Linked DNA regions of Styela clava. Each later gene encodes a partner of the first gene's protein in a complex. Links are inferred from orthologs where the notes say so. Each region holds a gene or a part of one and is shown on either strand. Other genes may lie near its edges.

Evidence for each region.
Region 2: the proteins of exportin-1-like (region 1) and GTP-binding nuclear protein Ran-like are in contact, whole or in part, in a crystal structure (PDB 7B51), measured with the Homo sapiens proteins. The link is inferred for Styela clava from reciprocal best matches to the Homo sapiens genes XPO1 and RAN. Residues at the interface, in NP_003391.1 of Homo sapiens: Leu35, Tyr36, His37, Gln43, Arg44, Gln47, Leu50, Thr51, Lys54, Glu55, Asn74, Tyr77, Tyr78, Gln81, Lys124, Val125, Lys129, Met132, Leu173, Glu176, Glu177, Phe181, Gln185, Lys266, Thr269, Glu270, Asp313, Gln316, Asn317, Gln320; in NP_006316.1 of Homo sapiens: Lys12, Lys37, Lys38, Tyr39, Val40, Ala41, Leu43, Gly44, Val45, Val47, Trp64, Glu70, Lys71, Gly74, Leu75, Arg76, Asp77, Gly78, Tyr79, Ile81, Gln82, Val96, Pro102, Asn103, Arg106, Arg110, Val111, Glu113, Val124, Asp125.

What each region holds. Positions count from the first base shown.
Region 1 is NC_135255.1:23,656,946-23,664,817, forward strand, and holds the start of exportin-1-like, read right to left. Parts: upstream 3,076-7,872; 5' UTR 2,814-3,075; intron 516-2,813; 5' UTR 504-515; coding exon 360-503; intron 1-359. UniProt on the Homo sapiens protein: Mediates the nuclear export of cellular proteins (cargos) bearing a leucine-rich nuclear export signal (NES) and of RNAs.
Region 2 is NC_135252.1:24,004,417-24,011,389, reverse strand, and holds the start of GTP-binding nuclear protein Ran-like, read left to right. Parts: upstream 1-3,890; 5' UTR 3,891-3,955; coding exon 3,956-4,025; intron 4,026-5,659; coding exon 5,660-5,841; intron 5,842-6,973. UniProt on the Homo sapiens protein: GTPase involved in nucleocytoplasmic transport, participating both to the import and the export from the nucleus of proteins and RNAs. Switches between a cytoplasmic GDP- and a nuclear GTP-bound state by nucleotide exchange and GTP hydrolysis.

The DNA.
Region 1 (7,872 bases):
TAGAACAGTGCTTTCCAAAGTTAATTGAATTGGGAGGCAAAATTAGAAGCGGAAGAATATTCTCACACCCAAAGGGCCCATATCAGAACCGTATAATAAAATATCATTATAATTGAGTTGTCGCAAATATACACGTGCTTAAACTGTGATAACGGCGTAAAAATTGGTATCTAGAACGTAAAAAGATGATAAATATGAAGTGTTTAATTTTTTCAAATAAGTTCGACGGGCCATATTAAATCGTTGCGCGTGCCGTAATTGGCCCGCGGATAGAGAACCACTGATCTTGAACAGACTGAATCGAATAAACTTTTTATACAGACTTCAAAAATAATAATTCAATTTGAAAAACATCTTACCGGTTGTCCAGATCCGTCGTACATACATCCTACGACATTATCAAGGAGTTGAATATCCAATTTCTGTGAGAAGTCCAGCAACTGCTGGCCGACTTGCTGAGTTAATACCGTTCCCATGGAATTAGTATTGATTGGTGGCGTCATTTTGTTGGATGCCTGGAAAAAGAAATATTTCAAAATTTTAACTGATTAATTCATTAATACTGTCACACCATGACATGATAGGATTTTCATATTTATTTCAAAAGGGAAAAGATGATAATTTTTTGGCGTGGCAGAGCCTTGTATCAAGTTATATGCTTTTAAACTTATGCTCTAACTTATTTTAACTTATGCTCGCCTCCCAGGTATCCTTGCATTTTGTTTGTCTGCTTACTTTTTGTGTCATTTATGTTAAAGAACCAGAATAAAATGATTGATAATGATAACATGGCTCAATCATATGGCAAACCATGGTCTTTCATTCAGTTACCAGTCCATGTTGGGTACGGAATTAGCTATTCGTTGAGATGCATGGACCTCCTTACAGCAGATATTTTGGGTACCACCGTAGTATGTGAACCAAGATGGCGGACACCGGAACGAAGTATGTGTACCAGGTAAGGCCTTAAGTACAGGTACAAATACTACGGGAGTCACTTGGCTCGTTCCGAACTAGTAATAGAACTAAAATAAGAAAAATTGGAATACAATTATGGCCGAACCTTAACCTGGTATACATACCACATTATGGTATCCGCCATCTTGGTGCACATACTACGTAGCGCCAATATTTTTACAACAATAACCTGTTAACTATAACCAAAACTAAACTGTATCGGTATGAGTTTGTAGTTCGCGAAAGGATCAAACATCTCAAAAAATAGGGGAAAGTTGATAAGATGGCTTAACCATAATATGGCAAACCAAGGCCAGTTACCAGTCCATATTGGGTGTGGGAATAGTTATCCAGTTAAAAACAATAATCTGGTTTGATCATATGACATAATATGGCTCTCATTACCAATTTATGGTATATAACAACCAATAAATTTGATTTTAAAGCATAGTTGACATAGTAGGGCAGAGTGAATGTCAATTTAATTTTTTCAATCAATAAAAATAAATTGTAAATTTGAGAAAAAAGTGTACACGTTGTTTTACTCTAGAGAAGAAGCGCAGCAGGATACAGCCATATACCCAACACTACGCTCCAGAAGTATGCGTACCAGTATATACGCAACAAATTTTGTTCGCATACTTTACATCAAGGGACTGAAACCTATAGGTAGGGGGATATTTACTTGGCTAACACAGGCAGTCACCGAACTCGTAATAGAACTGAAGTGAGAAAAATCAGAATAAAATTGTGGCCTAAACCCAAGATGCTGACATGGTACATACTACGGGAGGTGACCGTACATTTGAACCCATGCGTATATCCATGGGTTCAATCTATATACGGGTGCTAAAATCCATGGGTTAGGGTTAGTATGGGTTTAACTATCCGTGAAAAAAAAAAATTCCATAGATGCAATAGCATACAGGTGAAATTGTCATGGGTTCAAATGTACGTGGGTTCAAATGTAATGGAACCACTACGGGAGTATGATAGCCTTGTAACAGTAACATGGCCAGTGTCTTATTAACAAGGATCCATAGCCTTTCCTCCACCCTTGAGGTTCCTGTATTAGTCTTTTAAATTCAGTTGGCTCATTTTAATCATGCAATAAGTCTTTTGGGCGTTTCTACTATAAACAACACCTACAAAAATCATTTCCATTAGGTTAAATGGAAAATTCCTGTATGAAAAATACCCTGTGAACAAGTGGTCACAATATCTGTGATTAATATGAATTTATTTGTATATATATTTTATGAACATTGCGATATATCGTTTCAATATGTTGTTTCACATAATTAAAATTCTTTAACAAAACAAAAAGACGGTAAAATCACCCCCAAACCGTCCAAAATTTGATCGAACCGGCCAGCACTGGTTCGCAACACGGAAAAGTCATCTGCGCGTGAATCCACCTCGAGCGCGTCGCGCGTGTTATTAAACAAACCAATCTCACGCGCGCACACACACCATCGTGTAGTTTTCCACTCATCGTGGGAACCGTGAGAAAATTTCCATGACGTCACGGGCATTCAAAAGCGAGCGTTTCTATTTTCATTCGAAGTTGGGTGTTTCCCCGACTTATCACATACGATTTTAATTTCTTATATTATGTCCTCCCCACGAAAATAAAAATTGCCAATCGAGGATAGGCCTATAACCAGAAAAAATGAAATTGTAAACACATCATGGGGAAACCCCGCGAAACATTACTACATCTTTATGTAATTTTCCATTTGAACGTACGGTACACGGTACAGATGTGCCAGAATTTTGGAAGAAAAACACAATTTTACTAGTTTCTGACTGAATTTTGTTACAAAAATTTCGTAAATAGATTATAATATACTCACAGATTGCAAATCCGAAACGGATATCGCTGTAGCCGCCGTTTTGAAGGTTAGATTCGTTTCAAATTTCTGTTAAATACGTATTTAGTATTCTACTAGTCTACGCTTTCTTCTTGACGACTTATTCAAGTTATGCCTTCTTCAATATAAGCTTTGTAAAGTAACTGCTTTAAAATTTCTTTTACGACAAGTAACTCCTCCCTGCGAACAGTCAATTTCATGAAATGATATTCGAAAAGCAATTTACAGAAGAAGCGAGTCGAAGCTGCAACCGGTTTGATCTGGTTTTCGCAATGCGTTCGCACTTTTTCGTTTTTCATCGCGCTGGATTTATGACGTCATCGCGTTTTTTCGTTCAGTTATTTAGCTCTCTTTCGTCCAGCAGTAAACAAAGAATAGGCAAACTTCAAAACAAAATATAATTTCACATAACGTTAGCTATATCATACTGAAGTATAAAGATTTAATCAGTTTAAAAATGGTTCCGCAAGACTGATTCTGTCTAGAAATTTTGAACCCGCCATTTTTGAATCCGGAATTCACTTATCCGTGCGACCTGAAGTGGGCTGTTCGATTGCGGGCACCGTTTCGGTACTGTTGTACGGATTACCGGTACGAAAATGTATGTTTATTTGCCTAAAAATGTAACAGTATCTGCATAATAATTAAACGGTATAACAGAGACGGGATATATGTTCAAGACCTTACTTTGAATTATGCCTGAGGTTGCCAATTGTGACACATTTACAATTCTAAATGAATTAAGGCTAAACTTTAAATAGGAAGAAAAATTAAAACGTATCGATACTATTTGTTCTAGCCCTAGGTCTTCGCCGACTTCAGCAACTGTTGGGCACGCCTTGTACACAGGTAGGCTGATGCTCCGCGTATATAAACGCGTTTGTAACGAACGATTCGACACGACAATTGAAATTGTTGGACACGTGGTGGTGGATCGTTTTGCTGTTATGTTGATTTTGTTGGTATTTTTTTTCATGTTGTTACAAAAAAATCGTTTTTCTCATATACTAATGGACCATTGCTTTGAAATTTTCAATGGTTGAAGATTGTATTTTTTGCTAGAATGTTATTACTTTTATTCCTAAATTTTCAATGAGATCTGATATTTCATCCAAAATGTCGCCATATTCTTATATTTTCATGTTTTAATCCGCCAAACGCGGCGGCGAGATTCCGATTTGACGCGACGCTACGCGAGACTCGGAGATTAATTGATGCGGGTCGGAACTGTACAAAACGGAACCGTACTTTATTTTGGATTTCGTATAAATATATTTTCGCATTGCTTTTTTTAAATTTACGCTCTACAGTAATTTTTTATTACCTTTTAGGAAGTTTTGCACCTCTAAAATTTTGTAAAACCACAGGAAAACGTCTTTGCGGCAATGGTCTGAAAGTATCCTTATCGTAGGTCACAGGACTGGGCAATATCGCGTACTTGATGATTTAAAAATCTAATCTAAAAATTTTCAAATCAAATTCGAAATATTTTGAAGATATAATCGTATGTGGTATTTTCACTGTGATACATGGGTTAATAAGTTAAGAACTAAATGGATGACCGATGAATCACATTTTTTTCACACCGATCAGAAGTTGGAATTCTAGATTTTAAACAGCGCGTGAAAACTCGTGAACTCAACTCAGTCGTCTTACTAAGAGACATAAAATTACAAATGACATCTAATACGTGACACGTGTTGTTGCATCACTCTTGATAGCTTTTTGACATCAGGCGGCATGTTGCAACACACATCTCTCGAATAGAAAATGGATTTCATTTCCTCATTCCATTGCATCTTAAGAAGTTCCATCCGAATGTTTTCTGCAACCGTATCCACGTTGGCATCAAACGGAATACTAAACAGCCTGAATTCGTTTTTAAGACGGAAAATGACGTCAGCATGCTTTTGACCGCGTTTCACATCCTTTAACATTTCTTCTATTAGCCGAGTCAAGTTTCTAGCAGAAAGGCTGATATAGGAGAATAAATTTACTTTTTTTAGGGCCTACAATACCGACTGCAGTCATCAATTACTTTTTTACGAAGTGTTAAGCAAATTCAAAAACTTTTCGAAACTGGCAACAGTATTCTGTTCGTTTTCGTTGTAAATTGTTTTAGGAAGAAAGAGCTTTGTTTTGTTAGACCTACTTTGAATTGTTTACTCCTATCTTCACGTCTTTGGCCATCTATCCTCCTTTCTATTGTTTTTCTAAGCCGATTTTAAAATGCTTCGTTTCATAGTGACGTATAATGTTCTATTCCTTTTTGCCCAAGTGTTCTGCGCCTTTGAAACCTTTGCACTCAGCATCAACTTTTCTGCGTTGTTTGCCATTTTTCTGATTACAATTAAATTGAGGCTCATTAAACGAGTGTTCACTAAATTGTTAGATTATAATATAATTTAATCTAAACATATCTTACTATAAATTTTGTTACGCAAAGATAATACTGAACTACCCAAACGTAGATCGTAAAATTAATTCATCGTCTAAACCAGGCCTGGGCAAACAACGGCACTCGGGCCAAATCCAACCCGTTGGGGACATTGATTTGGCCCGCCCGATGCTGCCACAACCAAAGTAAAACCAAATTTTGGTGTCTCAGATAAAAATTAGCTCAAGGATTTTGTTGAGATTGCGATTAAATTCAGTTTAAGCACGAGGCTTATTGTTCCCCAATTTTTCTTTTGTGACACTGTAAATATTGTTCACAAAATGTAACCTTCCACGTTACACCTAATGGCCCGCCAGTCTAGGTGGCCCGCGGTACAATAACCTTGCCCACCCCTAAACCGTCGTTTTGTCGCCATAATTCACGGAAATGTCGCGAGCCGAATCAGGACCGCGGGCCGTAGGGTGCCGACCGGTGCTTTAGTACTCCAGGTACATTAATATCATTTGAACAGTTCGCTTCGCTTTCGCATCACAATAGGAAACTTATTCCATCAATAACTCACTTGGAAGACAGAAATAATCAAATGTCAGAATTGCTTTTAAAAAATTGAAGGATACACCTTGACTTCGCACAAAATAAACAAGATGGCGGCGATTCAAAATTTATGGTTCCATTATATTTGAACCCACGACAATTGCACCTGCATACTATTGCACCTATAAATTTTTTTTTTGTTTTGCGGATATTTGAACCCATACTAACCCTAACCCATGGGTTTTAGCACCCGCATATAGATTGAACCCGGGGATATACACATGTGTTCAAATGTACGGTCACAAAAATTTATGTATGCGAACAGATACGCATAATTCACTGTCAGATTCGAAATGCCCAGCTCTAATTGTATATATATACGCTTGTTAGATGCAACCGCGAAATGTTCTATAGGTAGGCTTACAGTATGTCTGACGCAAAAAACGAGACTGTGCGGATAGGACAAGCCGATCTTGGTTCGATCCCTTAGCTTAGTAATAATTGTGAATCAAAATTAGCTGTAAACCATACTAAAATGTCCTCTATTGGTCTTTGCTTCAAATAATGGAAATCGCTCTTTAATTTATCAGAAAACTTGCACTTTGTTTTTTTGCATTTTGATGATTCAACGACAGTACAGTTGGGTGTTGAATTAACGCATGGTACATGGTACTTCATAACATAACTATGACATAACAATCTGAACTAGTAAGGTGAGTTGTAAACCAGTAGGAGTTCACCTGCGTCCGGTAAAAAACAATTTTGTATGAATATCAAATAAAAAAGGCATACTTTCATACTGCATAACCGGTCATTGAGGTCTATCGGCCGGGACGGCGCAACAACTATAGCTAAAATCGGGATTGCCCCGACTATACCGATATGTATGGTAAGCCTTCTCGGCGGTATGGTGCATTGTGCCAAGCGCTAGAAATACGCTCGCCACCGCACCGGTTATGCAGTACGACAATTGTAAAGATTCTTTTATTCGATATTAATACATTTTTTTAACGAAGGGAGCCGATTTTCCACTGATTTTCAACTCAAGAAAAATCCCCAAAATAATACAGTTACTTATTTCAATTTTCTTCGAAAAATAACACTAGGGCTTATTTTTTGGGGATGTCCTTTATTTTCATATATCAAAAACAAGATTGCAAAGTAGAGAATTACCAGATTTTCAAATATATATACAAAATATAAAAACCGATATCCATTTACTTGTGAAAAACACGTTCATATTTAACCTAGATTATTCAGGTCATTGAACCCTTTTCTCTCTCACAAGTTTTAGAATTCGTATTATTCATTTAAAACGTGTAGGAGAGATTTTGGTACTCCCGAAGTATGTTTACCAGGTTAGGTTTATGCAATAATTTTGTTCCAATTTTTCTATATTTAGTTCTGTTACGAGTTCGGTGACTAGCCAAGTGACTCCCGTAGTATTTGTACCTGAAAATATGGCCTAACCCCAACGTGATACATATACTACTTTCCGGTGTCCGTCATCTTGGTTCACATACTTCGGAAGTACCGAGATTTCCTGCTATTGACTAGGTCCAAATAAATTTTGCGCTATCGACTAGGTCTTATTCTGAGGGGAGAGCTTATGTTGAAATCATTTTTATAATTCAGAAAAGACCTTATTTTAGGGGAAACACGGTATATCATAGTTGTGATATTTGAACCCATACGTTATTTTAACACCCGACTGTACTGTCGTTGAATCATCAAAATACCGAAAACAAAGTGCAAGTTTTTAATAATATTTACAGCGTCATGCCCATCATCTACCCACAATGTTATGGTTAAAGTCAAAACTTCCACTAAACCTTAGTGTTACGGTAGCCAAAGTCCAACTTAGTTCAATAGCCCCGCAAATAGTCTATGACTGCAATGCATTTATACGCGCTCCCAAAACCTGTCTTGCTGTCTATGATACACTGGAAATATGCAGCTCTGATGTTGTTGTTTGAAATGATATTTTAATCCAAGTAAATCCACAGTTAAACAGAATATCCAGTTATTAAATGTAATCCAATAAAGCAACCATACAGGAATTGATTGCGGTAAATGACAATTGTGTCTATCCAACCAATAGTTCTACGA
Region 2 (6,973 bases), on another chromosome or scaffold:
TGGTTGTCAGTTTCCCCTGTTCGGTACAATTTCAAAAGTACTAAAGATATAAACCGGTGCCATCCTGTTACCGCTCAATAAATTTATTTTCGTTTTGTTTGATTCTGTTTCTTTGGTTTAGTTAAATAGGAAAGGATAGGATTTAGGATAGGATTTACATATTTATCCCGGGGGAGAGGAAAGCCGATAAGACGGCTTATCCATATGGCGAACCACGGCCTCTCGTCCGGTTACCATTCCAAGTCGGGTATGGGATTAGTTTTACTGTATTGTTTTTTTTTTTCGGAAGCATGGACTTGGTGGTGGAGGAAGCCGTAACCGACCAGCGGTTACGTGAACCACCCAACGACGGCGAGGAGTCCAGCAATCCTCTCGCACATAACCATCCCTGCATGGGATTCGAACCTGCGAACCCACGCAGAGTAATTAGAGGTGCGGTGGCGAGCGTATTCCTAACGCTTAGCCCGTTGAGCCACACCGCCGCGCGGAACAATAACCTAGCCTAAGATAAACTGAATCAAATAGGACATACTGAATAATTGGGGGTGAGGCAATTGGAGGGCAGTACAGTATCTATAAAACTTTTACCGCTAGGGATAATCTGAGGAAACGGGCAGATTATCGTAAAGTCGTTGTCAAATTAGATAATAGAATCTTGAGCGTCGCCGCTCGATAGACAGCTTTGCATCTCCGCGGGTTCCCTTCCCCAATAAAAGTGTGTACAGTACTTATCATTTCCCTCGTAAATTGTGTGAGATTAATTTCAGATCGGGGAAACTGTGATTAAGGCGCCTTGTTGGCTTTCCCTGGTTAAATAGGACAATTGTATCCTATTCAAACTAGTTTTAGATTTTACCGCTTTAGTACCAGAATTGAGTATTTCCATTCATGTTCAAGTTTATTTTTTTATCCAGTAAAAAATACAAATTACGTTATTCAAGGATAAAAAGCCAATTTTCAATCTTATATTAACATTTTATTGCTACGGTACAAGAGCAATGATTACCGATGTTGTATCCTAGCAAATAACACTTACATAATCTCACGAATGAACTCAGAAACGAGCGATATGCTTGAGTAAACAAACGAGGCAATGGAAAATTTTCAAAACTAAACCACGTGCTGTGACGTCATCGGCGCGAAAGGACGGTCTCGTCTCGATCTGGACGGTTGTTAGTTTCTGGAGGTGAGATTTCGAAATTTTATTTTCATTTAGAAAAAGATGTTTTGTATTTGTGGAGGGGGGAGATAAATACGATGTGACGGCTTAAAATATACGGGTTTTTATAGATTTACCAGTCCATGTCAATTATGGGAATATTTTGGCGCCAAATCGTTTCAGGTCCGCTTACTTTTGCGTTTGATTTCGCGTATTCAGGACATCCGCGGCTGGATTTGATTAATTTACTATTATTTTTTTTGCCAACTGCCGCTACCTCCTATATTCAGTCTTATGATGATAAAGTTTGTTTGCATATTTTATAAAGCTTAGGTACCGTGCAGTCAGACAGTAGTAGGATATCATATTTGCCCCTCCACAATCTGACATTTCTGTTTACAGGTTTAGTCATATCGGATCGGGACACTCAGACATTACAGCATTAGGATAAGTTATGCTATTGCCACACATTTCTCTCTTTATATTGTTCTATAAACAAATCATCCCAATCTTAGGTGATTCATTTTTATGACCTGTTACATTTGTTATGCCTGTATGCTGAAGACGGATCTGTATTGGACTTGGAAACAGAATAGACTACTGGACTACAAGAAACAGTTTAGAAAGTGAGCTAATACAGTAATAAATCCAGTATGCACACTTTAGGATCGAGAGACATTGTCTCGTTTTCAAAGAATCCCATTTTGCCAATGAACTCCTTCCAGCCTTCCTTTTTGGGGACATCTGGACATTGTTGACCCTCAATACAGCAATATCGGCAAAAATACAGTAAAATGAAGTTAGGCAATAGACTACAAAGAAGCGTGATCCAAACACGTCATCATCGAATTCGATTTATCGAAGGAAAAAATTTTTTACCGTGGCATTCGAGAGTTTTTATAAAAAAATGGCAATTTTGATCACATGATGGCCGCGATTAATTTAGATTATTATCGCGACAAGCATGGTGCGATATGACGCATCTGGCGTTGTGCCAGACAACTCTCGTTTGTGAGACACAGGAGTGTTTGGGACATTTCTAGAATTTGAAAAGTATGCCCTACTGCTGTACTGAAATCCAATGGTGATGTTTTTAGATTGCCCTTGCTTTTAGTTTATTGCACAGTGCCAATTTGTCGCTTTAAGCTGATTATGGACATCCAGACTGGGAGTCGCAGTTCTTACCACTTCTTGACAGCTCCTGCCACGAACGAACCGCGACGACTCTTGCCATGGTTTATGGCGCTATCACAGTATTATCGGTATATTCACAAAGTCATGTACCAGATTTACGTTTATCATGCGAAAATATATCTACTTAAACCTGAAACCTAAACCCCAAATACATCTAAACTGTATCTATAAAAAATGTTCCAACTTACGCAATATAAGTCACCATCAGGGCAGCCTTGTCCTAACCATTCAGGTGTATATAACTAACGGCCGACCTGCCGTGGTTTTCAATTTGCAGCCGCGGTAACGGCAGCTCGCCATTGGTTTGTGGCAGTTGGTCGCCGTGAGTTTGGCCATAGTGGCCGTGGTTTGGAAATACCGCTATGGTTTGCGGCAGCTCCAGACGCCGAGAAATGCTTAAAACTGCACTTGAAGACTGGAGGGGCTTGCACTCACTGTTATATTTATTGCCTTTTAATGTGGAGCTATCCTTAGAATGTTCATTTTCTTCAAGTCAGGGCCGTGAAGTCTGATGTACTCGAGACTGAGCAGACTTCCTAATTTCTCAAATTTGAAAGTCCAAGTCTCTATTACCGACTTTCAATGTAGATGGAAAATGGCTGCATTTCCAACAGAAAACTAAGAACAAAGTTTGCCAAGCGCTCTGTGCAGTTTTTGTCTTCAAATCTCAATTTTCTAGGATTTCGGAGTTGATTTCAAATTTTTTACAGGCTGTCAAATCTTTTCTTAACCCACTGTCTGGCAGTACGGCACACTATACAGATTGAGCGACATTGTCTTGTTTCAGAGAAACCCATTTTACCGGTGATCAGACACCCCTCCCCTTTGGGAGACGTCTGGACATTGTTGTCCCTCAATATCGGTGAAAATACAGTATAACGAAGTTGCGCAAAATACTACAAAGAAGCGCAATCTAAATACGTCATCATTGAAGTCCTCGGGAAAAAATAATCCGATTTAACGAAGGAAATTTTTCTTTCATGGCATTTGAGAGATTTTAGAAAAAAACGGCAATTTTGGTCATGTGATGGCCACATTAATTTAGCTATGGCGCGATATGATGCATCTACCTTTGTGCCAGACGCTCCTTGTTTGTGAGACACATAGAGTGTTTGTTTTATCGAACCAAATGAAGGGAAATTCTCGGAATTTGGATAGTGTGTCGTACTGTCTGGAAGTAAATTTCCAGACACCATAATCCTGATACAAATATTCTATTCGCTTTGGATATCTCAGTAGGGCACAGTTTGCAGATTCCAAAATGTCCCAACGTTTGGTTCAATAAAACACTCAATATGTCTCTGAAACATCTGGCATGCAGCAGGTGCATTAGTTCGCACCATGCTTGTCTCAATAATAATCTTAAGTAATCGCAACGAGTGCAGACGCCAAGTGACCTAAATTGCGTTTACTCTCACATAAAGGAGGGAGGTTGCACTCGCTGTTATAATTGATGTCTTTTAATATAGAATCGGAGAATCATGCTATACTGTATATTGACCAGTTTTCTGATCACAAATTTATATTTCTTCTTTAGAAATTAGATATTTTGCTTAGTTAATTTGGCAATTACGGTAGAATTTGTTTGGGAAAACATAAAATATGGCACAGCAACAAGCAGACAGCGACATCCCTCGTTTCAAATTGGTACTTGTTGGTGATGGAGGTGTAGGTAAGTCATATAGGTAGATAAAAAAAAAGTTTCTTACATTTTGAATATTTTTAGGCTGACTATTATTCCCTGAAAAATAGAACTCGCGCAAATGCAGTTTTAGGGGACCGGTCGCTTCAGCTGCTGTGGAGGCTGTCGTGTTTGCGCAGATATCAAATACATTTCAAAGTTGAAAGATCAGGAAAAAATGATTTTTGACTGTTACGGATTTCATGGGAGAAGTTAAGTTCCTTATATTCTTCAAGGCTCAGAATGTCTTGGCATGAACAATTGAAAAGCTTTTCATGATGCTCTTTCATGTCTATTGCTATGAACACGGCCCTCTACAGGCAGGGAGCCACTGATATCTACTACAGGGACAGTGACTCCTCTACAGCCCATGGGCCGGGGCCACGGCCCATCTAATTGGGCCACGTGGGCCGTGGCCCATCAAGCTATGGGCCGCGGCATCATCAGTATATATCAATTGTCTTAACAAAATAGTCCAGTAGTATGTGTACCAGGTTAAGGTTGGGACAAATTTTCGTTCAAGTTTTTCACATTATAGTTCTATTTTGAGTTCGGGGACTGTCTGTGTTAGCCAAGTGAATAGTCCTTTTACACAACTTATTCGATGGGCTGGGCCCCGGCCCATTGGCCATAGAGGAGTCACCACTTCCCCTCGATATCTGAGGATATGTGGAAAGATTGGAATCTTTCTTGATTTTAGGAATAGTCTTTATTTGGAAAATCATTGTCTAAGTGAGGAAGCTTACAGCCAAACCAAAAAAATAACAATGGAATTGTTGAATATGAACTACCGGTAATTTAATGACCTGGCCCGAGTGCAGTGATACGTTTGTCAACAATGCGCGAGGCTTGATGCAGTGATTGTATATTTTTTTAATGGGAATGAAGCATTTCGTTATTAATATATGTTAAATTATTTGTAATTTTACTCAACGAAAGTAGAGGCAAACTTAAAAATTTCAATGCAAACAAAACAACTCGGGCTTGATTTTTAACGTGTAAATACGGTAGAAAACGTATATGGATTGGACGCCGGGTAATTCAGCAGTAAAGCGAAACTAAAGAAAGCAAAAAGTACATTTTTACTATAGCGGAATATTTATTCACAGCGATCGGGCCTCTCGCTTTGTTGATGTCATATCTTCAGCCTCATGGGCCGAAACGTGTGTATGCCACATTCCACATAGAATACAGTCAATATTCGGTACTCCCGTTCCCGTAGTATGGGAACCAAGATGGCGGACACCGGAATGTAGTATGTGTACCAGGTTAGGGTTAGGCCATAATTTCAGGTACAAATACTACGGAACTTCCCAAACTCGTAATAAAACTAAAATTGGAAAAGAATTATGGCCTAACCCTAACCTGGTACACATACTACGTTCCGGTGTCTGCCATCTTGGTGCACATACTACAGGAGCGCCCAAGATTCAAAAATATTATTTTAAAATGTGTTCTGTGTGTATTAGGTTTTATTTGTTTTGCCTTCTTTGGTAATGGGTGTTTTATTTGTTTTGCCTTCTTTGGTAATGGGTAGGGGTTCAATTTCCCACTATAAATTGCAATTTTTTTTATTGTTGTGAATTTCCATATGTTAAATAATTTATTGAAAAAATTTTTTTTAGGCAAGACAACGTTCGTCAAGCGACATCTTACTGGAGAGTTTGAAAAGAAATATGTGGCAACCCTCGGAGTAGAAGTCCATCCGTTAAGTTTTCATACAAATCGTGGAAAAATTATTTTTGATGTCTGGGACACAGCTGGACAAGAAAAATTTGGAGGCTTGAGAGACGGATATTATATTAGAGTAAGTTAAAGTTTCTGAACCCGAGAAAAATTTCTTCCCGCGGGGGGTCGGTTTTGAAGTTTTTGGGAAGGGAATTTTACTTTGTACTTGCGTGTTGACTTAGGGATGCATGCCACTTTTGGATTTATGGATCGATTCGAATCGCATCTTTTGCGAATCAGATTTACGCGACTTGGTAACAGAGAGCGATTTACCGAAAAATAAAAAGATTGAATGTTTGTTTATCTTTGTTTTCGGCGGCATTTAAATTTGCCGAATGCGTTTATGCGGCACTCCAAATAACACCAATTGAGCAAACATAGGCGTGCAATAAGAAAAAAAAAAGCTTAATGGAATCAGATTCGATTCGATTCGAAAAAAAGTGTATCCAGAACTGGCAACCCTACGTGTGGTATCATTTATATTTATACTTAACATGAAACTCAAAAAAAAAGTTACTTTTTGTAAGTGGTCAGCTCATACGCGCATAACTCTGATCGCACTCAATCAAACGAAATGACATTAACCTAATCCAATTCGAACCATGCTTGAACTTGATCACTTGTGTGATTTGTAGGGTCGGCTTATATGCATATTTTTAGAAATTGACCATTTCGGGGCCGTTTTTAGGGGTTTTATATAGTATTTAGTATTATTGTAATGAATATGAATATGCATACATTAACTTATATTTCGTTAACAAAAGCCAGAGTTTGAGTTGCACGCATTGCAAACCAAACGTAAATCAAGAATAAGAAATGCAAATTTTTATGCAAAGTGGGAAAAGACTTGGGAGCTTAAAAGTTGGCCCAGAGAGAAACGGGTCAATAAAGGTGTAGATGGAGTTATTTAAACTATTTCTGGCATTTTTTTTGGGGGGGGGGCTGATTTGATTTGTCTGGGATTGTTGAGTCAGGAGATGAGTTGGGCGCATTCTGGCTGGAGTAGTATTTTCAAACTTTTCAAACCCAGAGTTGTGCGTTAAAATTCTGAATTCTCGGAGTATGTGTCGGGATTTCAGACATTTGATAGTGATGAATTCAAAATAAAATGGATCTTTTAAAGCGTCTTATACTCTTAATTAACAGTTTATCAAAGAAGGCTTGCACTCACAAAATATTTTGTTATCAAGCCTATGTCAAAATTGTGAGGT